3 linked regions of the Pelodiscus sinensis genome follow. The protein of the gene in region 1 purifies or fractionates together with the protein of each later gene. This does not show direct contact. Links are inferred from orthologs where the notes say so. Each region holds a gene or a part of one and is shown on either strand. Other genes may lie near its edges.

Region 1 (7,431 bases):
TGATCCCTTTGATCTGGTCTAGTAGTGCCTTAGCAACAGGAGATCTGGCTTCAGTCCTAACTCTGACACAGACTTCACTGTTATCTTGAACAAGTCATTTAGGCCCAATCCTCAACGGTGTGTAGGCTCCTCCCTCCCTCAAGGCTCTGGACTTTAATCTCCACCTTAGTTCTTCCCCTATGAATGGGGATTATTCTTGGATGAGTGCATTATACAACAGGGCCCTAATGTCAATGGAGCCTTCAGATGCTACATAATACAACCAATAATAGGGTCTGGAGAAAGGGACGCTCTTGCTGAAAATAGTTATTTCCACAATGCTACAGCAGAAGGGTGGGGAGAGGGCCCCTCCTGCCGCAAGGCACGCAGAGGACGGAAATGCCTTCATGTGAGAAGAGTGGGTGGTCTTTCCCCATCTGCTAGTGCCAGAAATGAGCCCTGAGCAAGGCTCCCCCAAACCTAGGGGAGAGGAATGCCTCAATTGACCCAGAATGAGGCAAATGTTGTAAAATGAACCATCTGGCCACTGCCTTAGGAGTCTGGTGTGAGGCTGTAGGTTGACTCCTCACTGGAGCTTGTCCCAAGTATGTGCAGGTGTATTGCTACTACCTGTTCAGTCTGCTGTACCCATTGTTGTCCCCAAACAGGAGGAGATCTGACCCTACCCAGGCACTGAAACATCAACATGCTCCTCTTTTTCCAGCTGGGCCGAGGATAGCCACTCTTTCATGGGTGGCAGGTATGTTAGGTGGAGGAAGGCACTGCCTTCCCTAACCACCAGCCTGGCCCCACCCACACTCTGCCTACTGGGGCTGCATGTCCTCTTCTCTCCCTGTGCTCCAGGAGCCTCTGTCTGTGTGGAGCCTCATCTTCCTCTGATACTGAGGGGGGAGGGCCTGGGCAGAAGGGGTGGGAGTGTGGGGGCAGGGGAGGGCTTGCCTCCCTGAGCCTTTACCTTCACCCACCACCCATGCACACTCCCCTTCTCCATTTCATGGTCACTTCTGCTCCGGCTCTACACTCAAACACCCTCCCAGAGTGCACTTTGCCGTCTCTATACTCTTGCCCCATCCCTTGCTCTCCTTCCAACAGAGTACAGATCAAGCAGAGAGAGGTTCTTTTCCTCTTGCCCCATACACACTGATTCCAATAGGCTGAACAGGAAGGGGACTCTCCCTGATTCAGGAAAAGGGGTGGGTGGGTGTGGAAGCTGGCTCCCTGAAGCCAGGAAGAGGACAAGGTGCTCTGCTTCAGCTCCCCTTCCCCAACACACTCTAAGAGCAGTTTTCTCTCTAACACCTGCCACACATACTTAAAATCTGCCTCTTCCTTCCTCGTCATCACCTCTTTCTTCCATTTTATAGCCCCTTTCTCATAACCTCAGGTCAACTGTAATATGAACTTATTCTCCTCTTTACTGGGAAGAGGGTGCCTCTGTTTTGATTGAGGTGAATATTTATGTATGAGGGGGCTGCCCCATAGATATAGCTGCAAAGAAATCCCCCTTCCCCTCCCCCCACACTCCTCTACAAACAAAAGAATATGAGCCTTGAAAGTGTGGCACATCTAGTCCTCTCATTTACTAATTTCAGCGGGGTAGTGGTGTTAGTCTGAATCTGCAAAAGTGACGAGGAGTCCTGTGGCACCTCATAGACTAACAGATTTATTGGAGCATAAGCTTTTGTGGGATAAGACCCACAAAGATTCCACTACATGCATCTAAGTGGGTCATATCCCACGAAAGCTTATACTCCAAGAAATCTGTTAGTCTATGAGGTGCCACAGGATTCCTTGTCATTTACTATTGCTTCCTGAGTTGGACAAGAGTTTTCCTTTGTTCCAGTTCCTTATATAGAGGCATATCCTAATTCTGAGATATTTAGGCTAACCCGTATGGGAAAATAATGGAGGGATGAGGCAACCTACCAGTCTGACATGGCTTCTAGTCTGCCATGTAGAAATCTCATTAGTGAATGTGTCTCAAACAAAAAAGTATATTTCCTGCTGGAGCCTCTAGAAGGGCACAACCTCTGGCTGGGCACTATTTTGCCATGTGATGCAAAGGGGGATGGTGCTGTAACTTGTGTGTATGACACCCCCGCTCAAGCATTCCAAAATCATTCTTTAGCTCCCCCCAAAACCAGGCATGCCTCTTAAAAATCATGAAATTGTATTTTGCTTGCTTGGTCTTCTGGTGTTTAGCCTTTAGGGCACACTTGCATTAACTCTTCAAGGTTTTCTGAGTAACCAAGAAAGCTAGAAGATTACCTCTATTTATTTCTAAATGAAAGGTGAGAGTCTCATGGAATCCTATGATTCCAGGAGTTGGGGCTTTAAGAAAAACATCAAATAGCACAATAACATACAGGAAGTTGTTGGCCATTAGCCTGAGAAGGGGGTAATTACAGCAGGACCTCCTGACCCAAAAATGTGTGGGGAGTGACAATCCCTTGGAGAAGCACAGCTACTGTGGAAGATAGAGGTAACTAGCATTGTAAAAATTATTTCTCTGTAATCTTTGGGAGACTTGGCAGCTCTGTTCTTGTCTCATCCAAGTGGTGGTGGGAAGGAGGTTAGTGAACAGATAAACACAGTTGTCTTTTAAAACCACAAAAAATACCCATCAATTTTAGGGTCCTCAGGCTCATGACTTTTTAAGCTCCTGCACATAGGAGCATATGGGTTTTTATCAGGGTTCAGAAACTCTTCTGAAATGCTGAATAGGGTGATGCCCATTGATGGCAGTTTGTGTTAAAAATCTCAGCCTAAATCAGTGGTTTTCAAACTATGGGTCATACTGGGTGGTGGAATACCAAGCCCTGGGTCATTTTGCTGTAAGGTAACCAGAGGAGGTAGACTAAGGCAGGCTTCCTGCCTCTCCCAGCACTGAGGACCACGTTGCGGCCAGGAACAGTTTGGGCACAGGAGTCAAAGAAATCAAGTGGGGATGGGGAGCAGGGCATAGAGCCCCTTGCACACCTCCACCTAGGAGCTGGACCTGCTGCTGGCCACTTCCAGGGCACAGTGCATACCATCATGCCAGGACAGGCAGGAAACCTGCCTTAGCATGACCGCTGCATGGAATCCACCAGAATTAAGCCCTTGTCCAAGTCCAGAGCCCCCTCCTGCATCCTTCAGCCCTGCCCTAGAGCCTGCACTCTAGTCAAAAGAAGTAATTGTGGTGGGTGATGGGCACCAGGGCCCGACGGAGGCATGGGTGAGCTGGGCAGCTGCCCGGGGCGCCAACCGATGACGGGTGCCTGATGGCAGCTGTAAGGGGCACATGGCATCCCTTACAGCTGCCATCAGGTGTTGCGCGCGCCTGGCTCCCGTAGCACCCTTCCCCCCATGGCTGCAGGTCCCTGCACGGCCCAGCGCACGCGCAAGGCAGGGCCGGGCTGGGCAGCTCGTGCGGCCTGGGGGCAGGCCCCGGGCTGTGCGCCAGCAGCCGTAGCGGGCATGCGCATGCGCCGTGCGTCCGGGGGCAGGCCTGCGCACCCTAGGGGGGCAGGCCTGTGCCACACAGGTGGGCCCGCGCGTGCGCCGTGCGCCATGGGGCAGCGCCGCACTCCTGGGCCAAGGGCGCCAAAAGGGCTCGAGCCAGCCCTGATGGGCACTGACAATTTTCTTCAACTGGTTCATGAGACAGAAGTTTGAAAGCCACTGGCCTAAATGTTCCCCCTCTTTATCTTGTCCTGCCCCCTTCAATCTCTCCCTCTCCCCCAGATGTTTGGAAAGTTAAGTCTGAGCCCAAAGGCGCCACTGAGGAATGTGGCAGGAAAGTGTGGGGAGGTAAGTACCTACATGCATCTGTACGCAACACAATCCAAAACAAATATTTCATTGTACACCTGATTTTTCTTGAGCTTTCTAAGTGGCTCATAACTTCCAGAGCCCAGCTGGCCTTGGCTTTTCTCCTTGAGTAAAAAATCAAACCGACTCAGTTTCAACCAATCCAAACAGAACCAGGGTGTGGGGCTGTCGGTCTGGGGAGCCACGGGGCTGCGGGCAGTGTTGTAGGCGGCCCAGGCGGGGGAGGTTATAGCGTTTATTGGACCAATTCTCCGGTTTACTCAGGGCGCCCCTTTGCCCGCTAGGCGTCTCCGGGTGAGCGGCGAGGCGGCTTCGCGCTGGTTCAAACCGTGTGGCGCAGCAGCTGCGGGAGCGGGCACTGGGAGGGGTCTGTAGCCGCGGCTGCAGAGCGCAGGGCTCGCTGCCTGTTTCCACTGCCGCAGGAGGGGCGGACTCGCTCGCCTGCTACCGTCGCGTGGGGCTCGGCGCGCCGGGAGAAGGTAAAGGGAGGCGCTCGGGGGCTCTGCCCGCCCGGCAGCAGCGCCCAATGGTCACAGCAGGACGCGGGGAGGGGGAGCGCGGCGCACCTGAAACAGCAGCAGGGAGAACAAAGGCAGCGCTCTGCCTGCAGCCTGCTCGTCCGGCGGCCGGGTGGTGCTGGGGACTGGACGCTCCCGGGCGCGGCCCCTAGGCTAGCGGGGGTGGGGGGAGAGCAGCGCCTTCCCCTGCCTGCTTCCTTGCCGCCCCAGATGCGCCTTGTTTACATAGGGCGGCTCAACTCTTCCCGCAGAGTCCTCGCCTCGCAAAGTGTCTGGGCTCCCTGCTTGCAGGGCGGTTTCCATTTGCACCTGAAACCGGGACGGTCCCAAGCTGGGGGGCGGCGCAAAAACAACGTTTTACACCCCCCCCCCCCCCCCCTCCTCCAGCACTTTGGGAAGGAGCAGCCAGTGACAGGAGAGTGTCCCCCTCCCCAAGAGCGGAACAAATCCCAGCTCCCTGGGGCAGTGCCCTGGCCTCCGCTTGAAGGCCACGAATTTCCATGCGGCCGAGATGGCCCGTGAGAATACTCTCCCCCTTCAGTGTATCTAGTACAGTCTGAGGCTTAAAGCGACTCAGGGGCTTGTCCAAGAGGGTATATGCTGTCTGGGATCCGCTGGAGCGCTGTGTTCACAAGTCATTGCTCCTCCCCACTGGGAGTCCTGGTTCTGCAATTAAGTTTGTTGCACTTTCTTATAACAGGACTATGTAACATGACTTCCTCTGATGCTAGGAAATCTGCAGAGGCTGTTTATAGCACAGGATTCTGGATAGTCTCTTAACTTTGTTGAGTAAAGCTTCTCCTCCCCCCCCCCATCTGCTTTGTTCAAGGCTACCCTTCTGTATAAATAAGTTTTGGCCTTTTGGGTTAAATATTAATTGGTGAAATCTTTGGAAGGTGGGAGAGAGAGAGGCAGGCCAGAGAGCACATTTACTAGGAAATCCACTCAAGTGTTGTTCTCCATGTGTTGCTGTTTTGCGTCTCCGTTTTCCCTGCCTCCCAGTTTGAAAGTGATTGGAGCTGTGTGACTGTAGCACCACATGCAGAGCATTCGCCAGCAGCCTTTGCTTCATGGCATCGAGTGGAAAGGCTAGATCGCCATTAGGGTGTCGTGATCAAAGAAACCCTTGAGAATGAATCCACCCCTTTGCAACAGCTTGTTGGTAGTGAGGAGCATATTTAACAGAGAAATCCTCTGGATGCCCCATTAAAAACCTTGTCACTTATCTTATCTTCTCCTCCTCACCCCATCTGCTTTCTTGCCCTGGGGTTTCACAAAGTGCTAGCCTTTCCTATGGATCAAGGGTTTGGATAAAGGTTTCCGAGGTGGCAGCCATTTTGCTGAAAAGTTATTTCCTACAAGCCAGCCATTTGGGATCCCTGGGTGGTTTTTGCAGTCCATGATGGGTTTACAATGGTTTAGGTTCTGATGGAGGCTTCTAGCGTGACAGTCTCGTTAACATGCAGGCCAAAGGTTCTCTCCGTTGGTTAACTCAACATGAAGATGGAACAGAAAGGTCTTCCCCCATCACTAAAAATGGTTGTTCTGAAGAGGCTCGGAAAAGCCGCTTCTGAGTTAAAACCTCAGCTTCTGGGTATTAGTTTGCTGTGAAGATAGGAAGACCATACCTGTCCCAGAGGGGTTTTTACAACCCCAAGCACTTAGTTTGCCTTTGGGCCTAGGGATGTAAAAAAGAATTTAAATAGTTAACTGGCTAAATGGCTAAAATTTTAACATTTAACTGGTTTCTCCGCCTGTCCGTTGCTCTGATACGGCTGGGGTGGGGGGAGTGGTCCTGAGGCCTGCCAAGACTGGTAAGAATTGGAGCTGGCCAGGGCCAGAAAATCACCTGCCTGCTCTGTGTGGCTGAGGCCAGGACATCACTGGGACGTGGCTGGAACACCAGAGTCCCACTGGGATGCAGCCAGGGTCAGGATGCTCCTGGGGCCGGGATGCTATGCTGAGTCGGAGCAGCTGGGGTACTGACAGCCACCTCCATGCCGGCAGGCTCCCCACAGCTGATGTAGACGCATCTCTGCCTACCCTCCCCTCATAGTAGGCTGGATTAAGCCAGGGCTGCTCCAGCCTGCTGTGGTTCATTGTGAAACTGGTTATGCAATGAGCATTCCGGTAAACCTAATGCTTACCAGGTAACCAGTTAACCTTTAACATCCCTACTTTGGGCTTCCGTAATGCTGCTGTTGTGATCCTGCCTCTTGTCATACACTAGGAAGAGTGGAGTTCAGGGAGAAACAGGTGCAACCTTTGTGTTCCATGGCTGATCTGTTACTCGGTCTAACAAAGGTAGTAAGTTTTCTTGGACTTTAATCTGTGTTTTAGGTAACACAGGCTGCCAAATGTCACATCTGTGTTTGTACATTGCCTAGCTCAACGGGACTGCATTGTTGGGTGGCAGTTTTAGACACTACTGGGAGAAACATGATTAACAAACCTAGTGCCTCCGGCAGTAAAGGGAATTGTTTGTTTCTATTCTGGGAGTGAATGTTACTGAGCCCAACTGTGATGACAGACAACTCTGTGACCAGAAGAGATAAGTTGCTTTTTGAGATCTGCAGCTTCTGACCCATAAAGCCCCTCTTACACTACATTTTCCCTCAGCGGTTTCAATGCTCTTTACTGCCTGACCCGAACCTGTTGTGCATTATTTGCGGCAGCTTGCTAAACAGCTTCTGTTCTCTAGCTGGCTGCTTTACGGTTCTGGCTCCAGTAGTCCATGTCTTCCTGTGTTTTACATCTTTAAAGGCAATAGTCCAAAAGTGCCTATTTAGATCAGTATTCCAGAGACTTCCCACTCTCTCCCGTGATTTGGTACAAGAGTCTTGCAGCCCTGCAGTAATTTTGAGAGAAGTTTTGAGACGTTTTCTATTGAGTTCTGCATTCTCTCACTGCTGCTCTCCTGAGTTCAGTTGCATCCCCCAGCCCTCTTTGCCAGCTTCTGGGTGGGCAGCAAGATGTCCCTTTCCCTAGGTATCGAGAGTTTCCTCAGACAGTGAGTAGGGGTTTCATAAGTGCTTCTCCAATAGGTGGTTTTATCTCTGTGCATCTGGTATAGAGGGAGCAGAGCACTGATTAGGGAGCT
Region 2 (7,526 bases), on another chromosome or scaffold:
CCCCGTGCTGCTCCCTTGTCGAGCTCTCGCCCCGTTAGGACCATGTGCCCTGGTGGGTAAATGGACACCCGCTGGCGTGACACACAATGTGTCATTTACACCCAACAGAGGGGCACATGGAAAAAATATCTCCCGTCGGACAGGACAGAAAACCATCTTGTCACCAGTTTGGCTACAGCCTTTGCCATGTGGGGCCTGGCCTGGTGTCTGTCCTTCCCGTGGGGCCTGGCCTGGTGTCTGTTCTTCCCGTGGGGCCTGGCCTGGTGTCTGTCCTTCCCGTGGGACCCGGCCTGGTGTCTGTCCTTCCCGTGGGGCCCGGCCTGGTGTCTGTCCTTCTCATGGAGCTCGGCCTGGTGTCTGTCCTTCCCTTGGGGCCTGGCCTGGTGTCTGTCCTTCCCGTGGGACCCAGCCTGGTGTCTGTCCTTCCCGTGGGACCCGGCCTGGTGTCTGTCCTTCCCATGGAGCCGGCCTGGTGTCTGTCCTTCCCTTGGGGCCTGGCCTGGTGTCTGTCCTTCCCGTGGGACCCGGCCTGGTGTCTGTCCTTCCCATGGAGCCGGCCTGGTGTCTGTCCTTCCCGTGGGGCCCAGCCTGCTGTCTGTCCTTCCTGTGGGACCCGGCCTGGTGTCTGTCCTTCCCGTGGGGCCCGGCCTGGTGTCTGTCCTTCCCGTGGGGCCCGGCCTGGTGTCTGTCCTTCACGACGACATGAACAAGCCATGGGAACTCAGCTCTGGCTTGAGGCCCAAGGGGACCCTCTCGGGTGACCCGGAAAGCACAGGCCAGAACCGGGACACGCCTGTGACCTCCCGCCAGCCGGCGTGAAGGGAGTCTTGGCCCTCAGCCCCCAAGAGCTGCTGATCTTGCCCCTCCACCTCAAAGCAAATCCCTGCGTGTTCCGCGCCCCAGGGCCTGCCGGCTGAGCTTGGCTGGGGATGCTTTAGCCTTTTCCCAGCTGCTCTCATGAGTGGGGTCGCCTCTCCCGCCCAAGATGTGGGGTGCACCTGAGCTGGAAACTCCAGGGAGGGCTACAGCCAAGCCCCTGCATGGCAAATCCAGCCAGGTCTGGGCTGCGTCCCCAGAGGGAAACCAGGACAGTCTCCTCCCTCCCCTGCCCCCCCGCCCCCCCGTGCAGGACCAGGAACCCAAGCCCCTCCCACCATGCAGGCCCCCCTGTTCCAGGACCCCCGCACTGTAATCTGAGCCCCCCCACAGCCGCGCCCCTTGGCAGCCCTGGCCTCCAGGCACGGTGCTCACGCACTTCAGGAAGGGCGTCTCTTTCCCGGGGAATGAGGTCATGGAGGAGTTTGCTGGGGGGGGGGCGAAAAGGTGGGGTGCTTGGGGGGCACTGCCAGGCGGTTCCAGGCCCAAAGGGGGTGTGGAGGGATTGAGGCTGGATCCATTGCGGGGGGAGGGGAAGTGAGTCACTTTGCTACAGGCCCGGGAGTGCTGGGGGTCGGCTGGCGCAGGGAGAGGAAATGGGACGGGAGCCAGGGCAGGGCAGCGAGGTAGCGGCAGGATATGCAGGTGGCAGGGTGCCCACTGGTGCTGGCCCGCGCGGGCAGCTGGCTCTGATTGGCCAGTAACCCTCCTGCCAGAGCCCTGCAAGGATCCAAAGGCTGGAGGGGGATGTGTGTCCCTGCCTGCGACCTTTTGCAGTGCGGGGCTCGGGGGGCTGGGGGACCAGGCCTGTGGCTGCCACTGTCGGCAGACAGGACACTGGGCCGGACAGACCTTTGGTCTGGCCGCTCTGATGCCCTCCACGCAGCGCCCGGCGTGGGAAGGCGGAGCAGCGCGGCGTGCAGGCAGGAGCGGCTTCTCCCTGGCCCGCGCCGCATGTAAGGCCAGGGGTGCAAGGCCAGGAGCCCGTGGTAGGTGTGAAGATGACCAGGGCAATGGGGAGTCGTTCCACCGGCCTGTGTCTCCACCGGGACGAGCCCAAAGTCCAGTCGCACTCCACAAGCGCGGGGCCTCTGAGAATCCAGCCTCACGTTCGCCCCCTCACTGCTCCAGAATTCCAGCAAGGGCAGCATTTCAAATCCACCAAGGTGGGGCCCGCCAGCCGGCCTCCCACAACCACGGGCATGCTCAAACATTTGGAAAGTGGGCAGAGCTCCTAAAGCCCTAGCCTGAAAGGGCCCTTGCGACGTGAGAGTAAGGGTGTGTAAAACACGTGGCTGAAAGGAGAAACAGATAAGAGAGAAGGAAAGGCTGGGGCGTGGAGTCTGCAGTTTGGTGCTACCTCCACCACCACTGGCTTCAGACTAACTTCCATGCCTCAGTTTCCCCACTTGCAATTCAGGACATTGTGACACATGACTGGTATATGCAAAATGCTTTAACATCTTTCCATGAAATGGGTCAGAGTGCTGGCCTTCTAGGACTTGACACGTGTCATGGTGTGGCATTCTGAGTCCATTCAGACCTCAGTGGAAACAGAACTCAGCTCCAAAAACATGAGCCTCTGCCACTGGAGCTAAAGGAGAATCTCCACCAACTCCTACCAATATAGGGCATATGACACACAGCAGAGCAGTTCTGTTGCCATGGTGCTAAGTGTTGTACAAACTGGATCTGGGGTCCTTCTAGGTCATGGACAAACTGCCTTGCAGCAGTGCTTTGTGGGATGCTGAGAGTGAAGTGACCAGGAATGGGGCATGTGAGCAGCAGACCCTCATGGGGCCTGTTCCAGGCAGTTGCTGCTCTTGTGGTTATTTAACGCTTCCGAGAGCCAGGCCACAGGGCGAGGGCAGGAAGACGCAGAGCCGACAAACTAAACAGGAACGTAGCCTTCCCCTTTCATCCCAGTCACTGACACAACATGCATTGACTTGCACAGTCACGCTGCAGGCATTGCTGGAGCCCGGCACCCTGTGACCAGGTGCTGTTCTAGCGAAGAAAACGGGCGAGGACGCCACTGCACGCGAAGGGACTAGCGGGGCCGGAGTCGTGTCTGAATGCCGGAGGCTCAAGGCAGCTGCTGGGTAGTGGAGGACAGGCCGTCACATCTCCGCTCGGAGGGCGCTGGGGTGATGCGAGTGCTGTTACAGTCTCTAGGCAAACCCCACACTCAATTGTTCCCCATGTGCTTCCAGTAAGCTGGCAAAACAACAGACCTGGCCCGCAAGGCGGGTGTGGAACATATTCTTGCCCTGCAGCAGCGCTGGGAACCGAGGCTAGCGAGTGGGCCGCAGGAAAGCTGTCACCAAGCCGCTCTCCCGGGACAGGGCAGTTTTGCTCACTGTGCTTGCATCCCTAGACTGTGTGGGGGCGTGGGTTGAACTGGAGCAGCACTGTGACTGGCTGAGGAGGGAGCGCCTGGCTCTCCCAGTCAGTGCGGGGTGCCAGCAGCCAGCACCTCACGTCACCTGCCCTGGCAGCATGTGCACGTCACTTCAGCAATACTGGAAGGAAAAAAGTGACACTGTTGGAAGCCAGTGGGATCAGGGAGCATCTCGTGGGCCGCACGCAAAACCCCAATGGGCTGCAAGCAGCCCTCGGGCAACAGGTTGCCCACTGGAACTGTCCGTACCCATAAGTAGAATAGGCAGCTAGGAGAGGTACCCAAAATCTGGGGCACAGCTGGGTCTTAATGTCCATGCACCTGCCTCTTCCTATCCCTGTTCCTTCCCCCTCCCCTCTGCTTCATTAAGATGCAGCCCAGGTCCTGTCGGCCGACAGTGGCCAACGCCAGGTGCCCCGGAGGGAGGGAACTGAACAGAGAATCCTCACGTGATGCCTCCCCCGTGGCCCATTCCCAGCCTCTGGCACACGGGCCGGGGACCCATCCCTGCCCATCCTGGCTAAGAGCCATTGAGGGTCGGATGCTCCAGCAACTTGGCCCTTTGTAAACTTGTTGCCAGCCGAGTCCCATGGGGTTGGGGAGAGAGACTTGGCGATTCAGCCTTCTCCCACAGCCTACATCTGGCTCTGATTCCCCCACCCCCAGCAGGCTGCCTGGCTGGCACCAAAGCTCCCTTCCTGCCCTGGGGCGGGCGAGGGAATGGCGAGTGGGGAGCTGGGCTCCGATCAGAGGGCTGGAAGGGGCCTCTGGAGGCCATGGGGGCCATGGGCGGGCAAGGGAAAACGTCCAGTGTTACAGTCATTCACTGCAGCTTTGGCCAAGCACCCAGCCACAGCCCGGAGCCGAACTCACCGCACGAGGCCTCTCTCTCCCCTGGGCCCCGATCCTGCCGGCCTGTCCCCGCTCCGGCCTGCGGGCTTGCTCCCAGGCCCAGAGGGCGGCAGCTAGGACCGGGCAGCCAGGAGGTGGGAAGCAGAGAGACCCAGCGCGGGCGCCGGCATGGGGGCCACGCCAGGGCGCAACTTTGCCCAACTTTGGAAATCGCTGCAGAAGCGCGCAGCGGCGCGTAACGCGCCCTGAGCCGGGGGGGGGGGGACCAGCCCCCGCGCCCCTCCCCGCAGCGCCGCGGCCCCTTTAAGGCGGAGACTCCTTTGCTGCTGCGATTGTTCCCGTTGCCCGGAAGAAAAGCGCAAAGGTGGGGAGGACGCTGCTGGCCCCTCCCCGGCCCTGGCTCGCGCGCCCGGCAGGACGCACCTGGCCCCGGGCAGGACCCGCCATGGATCGCGGGCGGCTGCCGCTGCTCTGCCTGGCCTGGGGGGCTCTGGGCTGCGGGGGCTGCGCCGCCTTCAACCTGGACACCCGCTTCGTGGTGCTGAAGGAGGGAGCGACCCCGGGCGGCTTGTTCGGCTTCTCCGTGGCCCTGCACCACCAGACCGAGGGGCTGGACCGGCACCTGTGAGTACCGCCCCCCCCCCCCGCCGGGGGTCCGCGCTGCCCGGGTGCCCCTCGCTCCAGCCCCCCCGGCTTCGAGGGGCATCGGGGGGGATCTCTGCCGAAAGGGGCGCTCCGGGGCGCTGGGGGCCGAGGTGCCTGGAGACGTCACGCGCTCCTGGAGCGCATTGTGCAGCTTACGCCCTTCCCCACCTCTCCGCGCGAATGGGGCTGCCCTCGGGCCCGATCCTGCGCCCTCGGGGGAATAACGTGACTCCCCGGGGCGTACGGGCCAAGTTTGCTCCCGTGAGTGAGGGTTGCAGGATCAGGCCCCCGCTGGCCGGCTGGGCATGGGGCTGTCCGGCCCTTCTGGGACAGTCCGATTGGCCGGGGCAAGGCGATGCCTCAGCGCCGAAGTGCCGGCTGCGCCCGGAGCCTCCTGGCCGCGGGGGATGAATCCGATCTCCCCGGCTAATCTTGGCTTGTCATCATCTTCGCGCTGCCTGCGGCCCTGGGCCTTGCTTGTTCGCGGTGTCCTGAGCGGCGCTGGTGCTGGAGCTCAGCTGATGAGCCGGGAACCCTGAAACATCCAGCTGCCCCCGGGCTGTTTGACTGGGGCGAGGCCGCTGGCTGGTTTTCCTGTGGCCAGGGGAGGAAAATTCCCGGGGACCTGTTGAACTTTCCTGCCGTTCTCCAACAGGCGAAACTGTTGCAAAAGAACTTTTCGGTCCCTGGATTCTCTCTGGATTAACAGCTGCCCCCGGCTTGCCCGGGTCCCCAGCTCTGTGCCAGAGCTTGAGTTCATCTCCCAGAGGCCTGGTTCCCGGAGCCACCTTTAGATCTGGGTGTGGGGAGAATCCAGCTGGAGTATCCTCGTCGTCGGGTCGAGGCGGCTTGATTGCCCTGCACCCACAGAGGCTGGAACTGGGGGGAGGGGGTGCAACGCCCCCTGGCTTGAAGTGGCTTCCATCATAGGGGGGGGGTTACAGTTTGGTTCAGTGGCTTTCATCCCCCTTCCCCCCACATTGTGCCAGGCCCCCTGCCAGCACGTTGGGGCGCGTCCAGTCCTCCGGTGCTTGGGTGAGGGTCTAGCTGGGACTATCAAGGGGGTATCTCACTCAGCTCCCTGCCATTGTGGGGGCCTCGGGCGCTGGTGCCCCTCGCCCCCCTCCCTCCATTTTCTGCTTGTGGCACATGCTAGTCTAGGTTCCCACGGGGGGAGGGGAGGAGAGGAGGGCGACAGGTTCGGCGCCTGGGTGGTGGGTGCCTGCGACAGACGGGAGATCAAGCCGCGTGACCAGGCTGGGTCCCTCCTGCCCTGGCATCTGCCAGCAGCCTGGCGCTGGCGTTGACACCGGTGCAAACGGCTCCTCCAGCCGGCCCCGAGCAGAGGGCCTGTTTCCATTGCCCCGAGCCCTGGGAGAGCTCTCCCTGCAACAGCTGCACGGGCTGCGGCATCGGCATCGGCTGCGCATTCCAGAGAGGCATTGGAAAGGCTCCTGATGAAGTGTGGGATTTTGTTCTGTTGGAGGGGGAGTGAAATGTTCCGTGTCTCCCCCCTCTCCGGAACAGCTGCTGGGGCGGAGCTGGGTCTGGACGGGGGGCTCTGTGCTGGGAAATGCTGGCACGGAAAGGGAGTCTGTAAAGCCAGGAGGTTGCTTGGGAAGGGTGGCTCAGTGGTCAGAGCGGTAGCCTGTGACTTGGGAGAGGTTGGTTCAGTTTTCCCCTGTCACAGATTTTCCCAAGTGACCCTGGGCGAGTCACCAAAGCCTGGATCCTGCGGGTGTTTGGTAACCTCGCTGTGTTGTGGCTCTTGCTGGGAGGCGAAATCCATGGAAGACTGGGGGAGGGGGGGCAGGTGGACACTGACAATCACTAAAATCCAGACTCGGGCGAGGCTCTTCGGGCAGAGAGGCAAAGGTCAGAGCCAGGGACGTCCATACGCCACCCTCCATTCCAACAGCCCAGGCCCCAAGACCCATGTCCGCACCCAAACACGGGTGACTCGGGCCTTTCTGCAGGCGAGTGCCACTCCAAAGCAGCCCCCTTGGCACGACGGCCCCCGGGAGAGGTGTCCTGGAGCCGTCTCCATGCCCGGGGAGTGGGCGCTGAGTCCTGGGGAGGGACGGAGTTGTCGGGAGGGGGCCGCTGGGCCCGGCTCGCCAGAGAAAAGCGGCGAGGAAAAGTCCGTAGGGCAGCAGCTGCGTTTGCAAGCCTGCCTGGCCAGGGGCTTTCCTGTGTTAGCTTTGAGATAACGAGTCGAGCAAACGGTGCAAAGGGACACCCCTGGCGGCAGAAAGGGCCCGCAGGGCTGTTCGTGCCTCGCCTGCCGGTGCGGCTTGTGGGTGGACGTGAGCACAGGCTGCTTTCCTGTCGGAGCCGGTGTCGGGCTCAGGCGGGCCTGGTGGGTCTCCCGGCGCTGCCCAGTCTCCCCGAATCCTGGTTTGGACTCGGCAGGCACAGGAGGGGCAGCAGGTCTCCGGCTCCGCAGGGAGGGAGGCCTGGCTCTTTGGACCAGTAAGGCGCTGGATGTCCAGGACAGCTCCTCAGGTGCTTGCCAGGCCAGTTCCAAGCAGTGACCTGTCACTGACCACGGGGAGCCCCTGCTGCTTCAGAGGATGAAAAGTTGGATTGGCTAATTACAGAACAGCCTGCTCCTAGGGCTGTTTCTGCCTGACCCCTGTCAGTTTGCTCTCCTCTCGTGCCTTGAAGCATGAGCATTCGGGCTCTGAGCCAGCAGAACACTTAAACACGCGCCTGCTTCCCAGCCCAATTCATGTCAGCGAGACAACTCGCC
Region 3 (8,004 bases), on another chromosome or scaffold:
GCTGGCAGGGCTCTATTTCTGTTTTAAAACTGGAAGGGAGAGGGAAGTATTAGGAGCTGCCCCGCCCCCAGCACATTCTCATTGGCCGGTTCTCCTGCCCCAGATAGCAGTACCCTCCTACCCTGGGTCACATCCCAAACCCCTGCACTCCGAACCCTACACTCCAGTCCTCTGCCCTAGGTCACAACTGCCTGCTTCATCCCAACTCCCTCCCAGGCTCCAGGCTCCCTCCTGCACCCCAATCCCTTCCCCCAAGATCCCTTCTGCACCCAACTTCCATCTCAGACCCCCCATCTCCTCCATTAATATCATGGAAGAGTGTGACCCTCAACCACTTTCCAAAAATCGTGGGACTGCCCTCCTCCCGTCAAAAATTATTGCTCACCCTGTGATAGCAGCACTGACAGTACCATGGGGTTCTAATTATCAATAAAAAGATTATCTTAAGTTTAAGCGAAAAATGAGACAACTTTCAAGAATCACATGCATAAGCTGTGACATAGGGCCATGATGTATGATACTAACAGGCAATTTCTAGGGTTTAGATGTTTCCTTCTTTAGCTTTGGAGTAGTCCATGTCATCAGTATCTATGGAATTCATGCAGCCTCTCTGAAATCAATGACATTATACAGGGCACAACTCAGGGCAGTACGTGACCCTGGAAGTTTTAAGTAAGATTATCAAGTAACTTTCTGACTTCACTTCTCTCATGAACTCTGGATTCTCTTTTAACTTCATGCTTTTAATTAAAATAAAATTTAGTTCTGGTCTTTCATAAATCCTCACATGATTTGGTATCATCCATAGATAACATCTACAGTAAAATCAGTAAATGTGTTCAAATTTATACAGACAAGGTGGATTCGATAATTTCTTTCATTGGACCAAATAATGCTCCATTCAGTTACTCTCATGGTCCTCCCTGAGGGCATATAAAGGAACATTTCATTTTGTGGTTGGGTCTTCCATGAGCAATCCCTTTATTATCATGATTATGTTGGCAACACCCAATTTATTTGCCCATCCCTTCCTCAAGGATCTCGCATCTGTAGTGTGGAACAGGTTCAGTCTTGAACACCAGGGATTTTATTGCACATGCACACACACATCACCACTTGGACTGCTTTTGATTCAGTCAAGTAAGTCAGATGGAACCTAGGAAGATTATTTTTAACTCAAATTCAATTACAATTTTATTAAAAACAGTTTACTTAATCTCAGGACAATGTCTAGATTAATTCCTACATCAGCAAAGAGAGATTATCACAAGTTGCTGATCCATGATTCCTGTTATGCAGGAAGAATAAAGTTCATTCCTACAGCTAGAACATAGAGTGACCTACACAAAGAATGCTTCCCCAGTTATCACATCTAATATCATTAGCTCACAGACATTACCTTCCCCCCTCATCCCCCTTCTGTTCTGAAATTTGATTTGTCCTTTTCATATGTGTTCATTTTTTTAAATTGTATCCTTTGGTATATATGGTTGTGACTATTTTCTTCCACTATTTGATCTGAGGAAGTGGGTCTGGCCCACGAAAGCTCATCATCTAAGAAACCATCTTGTTAGTCTTTAAAGTGCTACTTAGTCCTGTATTTTGTTTCAGCTACCCTAGACTAACACAGCTGCATCTCTATCACTATTCTACACAAATGGGAGCAAATTTAAAAATCAGCAGTAACTACTAATGTAAACTAAAGATTTACTAGCATGCATCAGTTTCTTCATTGGCTTCAGTCTGCTTTTCCCTAGTGTGAGTACACTTGCTTAAGCGCTTCAGTCTCATGCTACTACTACTGCAGCTGCTGCTGCCTTGAGTTGAGAACAGCGGAGGCCTTTGGGGGCAACGTCCCTTTGTTGTCATACGCCCCTGCGGAATTCTTTGTTCGCATGAGCAGGAATGCAAGGTCAGCGTTTGCCACCAGGCTCACACGTCTCGCCGCACTAGTGCTGCCCCCCGCTCCCCCAGAGCCCTCGGTAGTGCGGAATCCCTACGGCAGAGAAAAGAACCGCGGTGATTTTCAAGGGGCCATTTCTGCCGGAGCTCGCCCTGGCTGCTGCCCCGGCGCACAGCAGCAGAGGGTCTGGGGCGCCCCGGGGTTTGAAGCCACGGAGCTTAGCTCAGACATTTTGTTTCAAAGCAGGGAGCACACCCAGCGGGTGCTGTGGGCGGCAACACGGCCTGCCCCGCTGCGCCAAGCGGCGGCGGTCGCAGCCCCACAACTTCTGCCAACAGGTGGCTGTTCCGCTTGTGCGCGGCCCGCAGCCAGGAGCCGACCCGCCAGCACGAAACCCAGCCTCGCCCGCTTCCCGGAGGCGGCCCCGGGCTGCAGGAGAGCGGGAGGGAGGGACGCGCCGCTCCCACCTGCAGGCTCACCCGGGAAACGCGCGCGCAGCCCAAGGAGCCGGCGGCGGAGTTTGAAACCTGCCCCCCACCGGAGAGATGCCCGCGCCCCCTTCCCCTGCCCGCCGCGGGGACCCCCGGGCGCAGCCCGCAGGAGCACCAGGCAGGCAGCGAGCCAGGGCGCTGCAGCCTGGCGGCGCCACCGGCTCCTGCCTTGTCCTGGAGCCTGGCGGGGCGGCGGCCCCCGAGTCGCGCTGCAGCGGGAAAGTTTCTGTGCGGAGGGGAGGGAGAGTTCCCCGGCCCGGGGCTACTTACAGCCTCTTGTCCTGCGGCGCCAGCTGCCAGTGCATGGCCAGGGAGAAGCCGAACAGGCTGCCCGGCTCCCCTCGCCGCAGGATCACATTGTCCGCGTCCAGGTTGAAGGCGGAGGCGAGGCAGGACAGGAGGGACAGGTAGAGGAGCGTCTGCCCGGGAGCCATCCGTTCAGGCTGGGAGCGGGAACCTGCTACTGCTGCTGCCCCTCGCCTGAACGCGCCTGGCGCTCCCCGCGCTGCCACTCGCTCAATGAGCCCGTTGTTCTCCTGAGACTCCCAGCTTCGCACTAAGTGACGAAAAGAGGCGAGCCCCGCCTCCCCCACCCGCCGGGCTGGGCTCGGCTCGGCTCTGCGGCCCTCAGCCTCTCCCTGCCCTGCCCTGCCGTTCTGTCCCTGCCAACCTCCAGCCAGTGAGTAGCGCCACGAGGCTCTTCCAGACGGAAAAGCGCCGCTAAGCAACCCCTGCAACTGTCCAGGATTTAGAGCGTCGCCCAGCCCTGCAGCCTTTCCCAGGCTCCAGCCAGCCCTGCCCTATTCATTCCCTCCTCCCCCACCAACGTCTTGCCGGAGCACTCAAGTGCTGCAATCAAGGGTCACCTGCAAGGGTGCTGTAGCTGCCTGGTTACTTATTCCCAGTTCCTTATTCCGGGTTCTAAAACAGAAATGGAATAACTCACTGGGGTTCCAGTACAAAGAAGTGACAACAACTCCCGAATTACCCAAATCATCAGTATCTATGTCCATCTTACCTTGGGGAAAAGAGAAATTAAGAGCAGGGGTATCACACTGCAGCAAAATAAAGTTTTGTATCACTGATCTGCCCCCAGGCTGTTCAGAACCCTTCCACAGACACAGAAGAGTTAGGGTGACCCAAGAACTATGTTGTCATTTACATCTAGTCAAACCCCAGTTAATTATTCAAATCAAGAGTCCTTGAATAAGTAACCAACACCAAGCAAACATAAATCACCCAAGCACATTGATTTCATTCCCTTCTGGTGGCTTGGTCCCTCAGTCTAAAAATGATACCAGATGCTCCACCAAGGGCACCTCCCAACACCAAGCTGTCAGTTAAAAAAAGCAAACTGAAATGCTGAAAATTGATTTACTAATTTAACTAGCATGGAATATATAACAGCAATAACAAGAAATATCCAATAGTAAATACATCCCAGGTTATGAGATAGTGACTACATTTCTAAAACATTTTAAGAACCCATTGCATCTTTTGAAGAATCCATTCTTGACAGCAGCACTCAGAACTTCATCTGTTTCCAGTGTTCACTATGGCTGTGTCTAGACTGGCAAGTTTTTCCACAAAATCAGATGATTTTGCGGAAAAACTTGCCAGCTGTCTACACTGGCCGCTTGAATTTCCACAAGAACACTGACGATCTCATGCAAGATCGTCAGAGTTCTTGCGGAAATACTGTGCTGCTCCTGTTCATTTGCGCAAGAGGGCCAGTGTAAACAGCACAGTACTGTTTTCCGCAAAAAAGCCCCGATGGCTAAAATGGCGATTGGGGCTTTTTTGCGCAAAACTGCGTCTAGATTGGCCACAGACGCTTTTCCGCAAAAAGTGCTTTTCCGTTAAAAGCATTTCCGGAAAATCATGCCAGTGTAGACGTAGCCTATAGGTATTCCTCTAAAGATAAACTAAAACAAAAACCACAGTCACCAATGTCAAGTATCAGAGGGGTAGCCGTGTTAGTCTGAATCTGCAAAAGCGGCGAGGAGTCCTGTGGCACCTTATAGACTACTTCAGTTAGTCTATAAGGTGCCACAGGACCAATCACCAATGTGTATCTATGTTAGTTATTTTAGTCCCTGCTGGAAAGCACACAGAAAAAAAAAACTTTACATATACATAAGTGTCTTCTCTAAACAGTCTTCAGAGCATTTGAGCCTCAAAACTCCATAATCTCTGAAGAGATCTGAGATTGCCCAACTCCTAATCTACAACTGTTAAAAATAGTATGCATATTATCTCATGCAGTCACGCAGAACACTGCAGTGTACATGACATTGGAAGGATAGAGTGTCAGCAGTGATTTTAGTTTTGTTTGAAGTTAACTTTTATTACTACATCCTGCATTTTCTTTTCCTAAAGTAAAGTTTAAAAAAAAACTATAAAAAAAAATCAATGGTGGCATGCCATAATAGTTTTCCTTGGCCATTAGTAAGTATTCTATGAAAGTAGGGGCAGGCCAAATTTCAGCTACTAAGATCAGCCATGAATCAGGAGTGATTATATCTATGCTTCCATAGTATGGGCCTTCCCAGGTCTTTCATCAAAATGCAAATATCATCATGACCCAAATGTACTTATAACACGATGATGGCTTGTGACTAGAATCTATTAGACTTGAAGCTGACATGTTCAGTTTAATCAAGACAATACTGTACATGACTGGTTTGAACAGGCTGGTGTTTTTTCTCCTAAACCTTTTGCCAAACCCCTATGACAACATTACTGTAGTGGAATTATTTTGAGTGTTCCTCTATGAGCAATTGAGTCTGCTTGAAATGCCATTCAGGCAGATTTTTAAAGATTCATTTTAGCAAGGTCATCATAATATACTTATTATTTTCTTATGGTTATTGATACTGCAAATAAATTTTTAAAGAAGAGAAAATAAATCTATCTTCTTCTCTTATGAAGCGCCACCCCCCACCCCCCAAATGTGCTTCCATAGCCTGGAAATCAAAACACGTATCTGTTGAATTAGGCTCCATCTCTTCCTGTCTGATTTATTCAAAACCATTATCCATAATCTAGTGTTCTGTTACCTCACAATCATTCCTCATGGCATAGACTTGTGTTAACACAAAGACTAGACTGATTTCACAGGGGGAGAGGGCTGGACTCATAAGGGAGCAAACTTATTACAATTCATAAATGTGATGGTAAGTAGCAATTACTAGAAAACAAAAACAAAAACAAAAACAAAAACAAGTGTGAACCCTTTAAAAATAATTTTGAGTTTTCCCCACAAATAACATCCAGCCTGTATACCAGGGCTGGGCAAGAGACTGTCAATGGGCCGGATCTGGCCCACCAAGCACTTTGATCCAGCCCATGGCAGCTCCACCACTAATGCGTTGCCTGGAAGCTGCTGGGGAGGCACAAACCCTTTCAGCTGCTGCTATTTAAAGGGCTTTCACCTCCCCTGCCGCTCCCAGGCAATGCATTAGTAACGGAACACAGGAAGCGCAAGCCCTTTAAAATTGCTGCTATTTAAAGGGCTCACAACCCCTGGAGCCGGAGCCAGAGCCGGGAGCCCTTTAAATAGCAGCAATTAGAAAGATTCCTGGCCCATGGCCACCCTGCGGCTCCCCCATACTCAAGCCAATCAAGACCTGGGGACAGGAGAGTACACAAAGTCTCCTCCCCCCGCCAGGGGCACAAAGCACCAGCAGGCTGTTCAAACAGCCAGCAGTTTTCTCTAAGCGCTTCATTCCCTTGGCAGTGAAGGGAGGGGAACTAAGACTTCATATGCTCCCCCACCCCGAGGCCAATCAAGGTGAGTAGGCTGTGAAGTCTCTTGCCCCTGCCCCCTTCAACCTGAGGCCCCACCCTTTCCAGGACAGCCCTCAACCTCTTCAAAAATTATTGCCCACCCCATTATATACTACAGTATTTTGAAAAAGTAGCAATAGCTCTGAATAACTTTGGCAGAAAGTAGGCTCATTCAAGTACTCAAACTAGACAATGGTGTCATGTTACATTTATTGGATCCCTCTCGCCAATGCTATCTTATACATTTTTATTTGTTCACTATTAGCCACATCAGTGGCGAGAGGATATCAATTTTACAGTTTCTTATTACCAGAATTAGTGACATTTAAAAATGTAGTTACATTGAAACCTCTCCTGGGACAAATAGAAGAAATGGATTTTTTGTCAGATGGAACACAGATTCACTCAAAAGTTTTAGAGTTTCATTGGAATAGTCTCAAACAGGTGAGACAAGGTGGATGGAGTAATATTTTTATTAGACCAACTTCTGATCATGAGAAAAAAAATTAAGCTATAGATGATCTATTATCTACATTTCACTTTATTTTCTTGAATATGTCCTTCCAGGCAGGGGAGGGGCAGCAAGTGTGAAAACATAGGTTTTCTTCTTTATTCAAGTGACTTATGATATTGCAGAGATTAGGCCACATGCAGAAAAATGTTATGGGACATCTTCTAGCAACCAACACATTCTTACACACTTTTTATTTGGTCCTATCCCAGTATAAAGGAAAATGAAAATTTGGTATGATGATCAATTAGCTTTGACTGCTATAATAATATACATCATAATGCAATGAAAATAACTCACTACCCATGGCTACTGTCTCAGCCAGCTCAAAGCCATGTGTCCTTTCTCTAGTCTGACATGCTCTGCCATAGCTGAGCTTTCAGCTGCCTGATTATTAATGGCATGTTGGTATTCTGCCAGATGGGCTGCAAGACATTGGCCTGCTGTGCCTACATATTGAGCATCAGTGCCAAAAATGCTCTCCTCCTCAATGTAGCAATTGTTGATTTAATTATAAGAACTAATTTTTCATTTTTAGAAATGAAAGTGAAGAACTGAAGCCAGATAAGACATTTTAATCTATGTTCTAGAGAAACTCTAAAGAACAATGCCTTGCATTGTTGACCCTTTTACCTTTCAGATTACAAACACACCTTACATTTATTTGGCATAAAAAGTAGTGCATCATTTACTGGTATACGTAGATGCACAGCTGTGTATCTTTCACACTGCACATTTAAAAAAGCAAAAATGTGTTGACGTATCCCCTATTCTTCCTTATTAAATTCCATATACTCATTGATTATATTTAATTTCAGATGGAAAATTGGCTCAGGCCTGCATTACTAAAACTAGTTACAAGCTTCTCTAAATTCTTAATTGCATCAAAGATTTATACATGGAATCAACTCTTTTGAATAATTTCCTTAATGCAATGCCTTTACAAGTTTTAGAATTGCTAGCTTTCCCTGAAGACTTAGTTCAAAATAGCTGATGCCTCTGAATAGCAAAGCAAGCAGGTGAATAGACTATTACTCTTTTGTACACAAGGACATTTTTGCTAGAATTTTCACTACTGCTATTTTCAGTTCTGCTCCACTGGTGTTAGTTCTGGTGAGCAATAGAGTACACAATATGCCTGCAGCTGTTAGCATTTTAAGCAAAAAGTTTTGCTCTGAGCAGATTAGATGTTACAGTGTTTAAAATGCCAGTGACTTCTTGGAGGCCAGTCTACACTAGCATTTCCATTGTTACAACTCCACCATTTGAGTTGAAGGTGTGCTAGTAAAAGAGAGGCATTATTTTAAAAA

What was found. Proteins that work in one complex are often made in the same cells at the same time.
Region 2: the proteins of CD151 (region 1) and ITGA3 purify together in Homo sapiens (co-immunoprecipitation; 4 studies listed by BioGRID and IntAct, with this or other methods). This does not show direct contact. The link is inferred for Pelodiscus sinensis from reciprocal best matches to the Homo sapiens genes CD151 and ITGA3.
Region 3: the proteins of CD151 (region 1) and ITGA6 purify together in Homo sapiens (co-immunoprecipitation; 3 studies listed by BioGRID and IntAct, with this or other methods). This does not show direct contact. The link is inferred for Pelodiscus sinensis from reciprocal best matches to the Homo sapiens genes CD151 and ITGA6.

Annotation. Positions count from the first base shown.
Region 1 is NC_134714.1:120,080,541-120,087,971, reverse strand, and holds the start of CD151 (CD151 antigen), read left to right. Parts: upstream 1-4,113; 5' UTR 4,114-4,292; intron 4,293-7,431. UniProt on the Homo sapiens protein: Structural component of specialized membrane microdomains known as tetraspanin-enriched microdomains (TERMs), which act as platforms for receptor clustering and signaling.
Region 2 is NC_134739.1:15,236,050-15,243,575, forward strand, and holds the start of ITGA3 (integrin alpha-3), read left to right. Parts: upstream 1-4,400; 5' UTR 4,401-4,574; coding exon 4,575-4,753; intron 4,754-7,526.
Region 3 is NC_134717.1:41,892,390-41,900,393, reverse strand, and holds the start of ITGA6 (integrin alpha-6), read right to left. Parts: upstream 3,127-8,004; 5' UTR 2,829-3,126; coding exon 2,665-2,828; intron 1-2,664. UniProt on the Homo sapiens protein: Integrin alpha-6/beta-1 (ITGA6:ITGB1) is a receptor for laminin on platelets. Integrin alpha-6/beta-1 (ITGA6:ITGB1) is present in oocytes and is involved in sperm-egg fusion.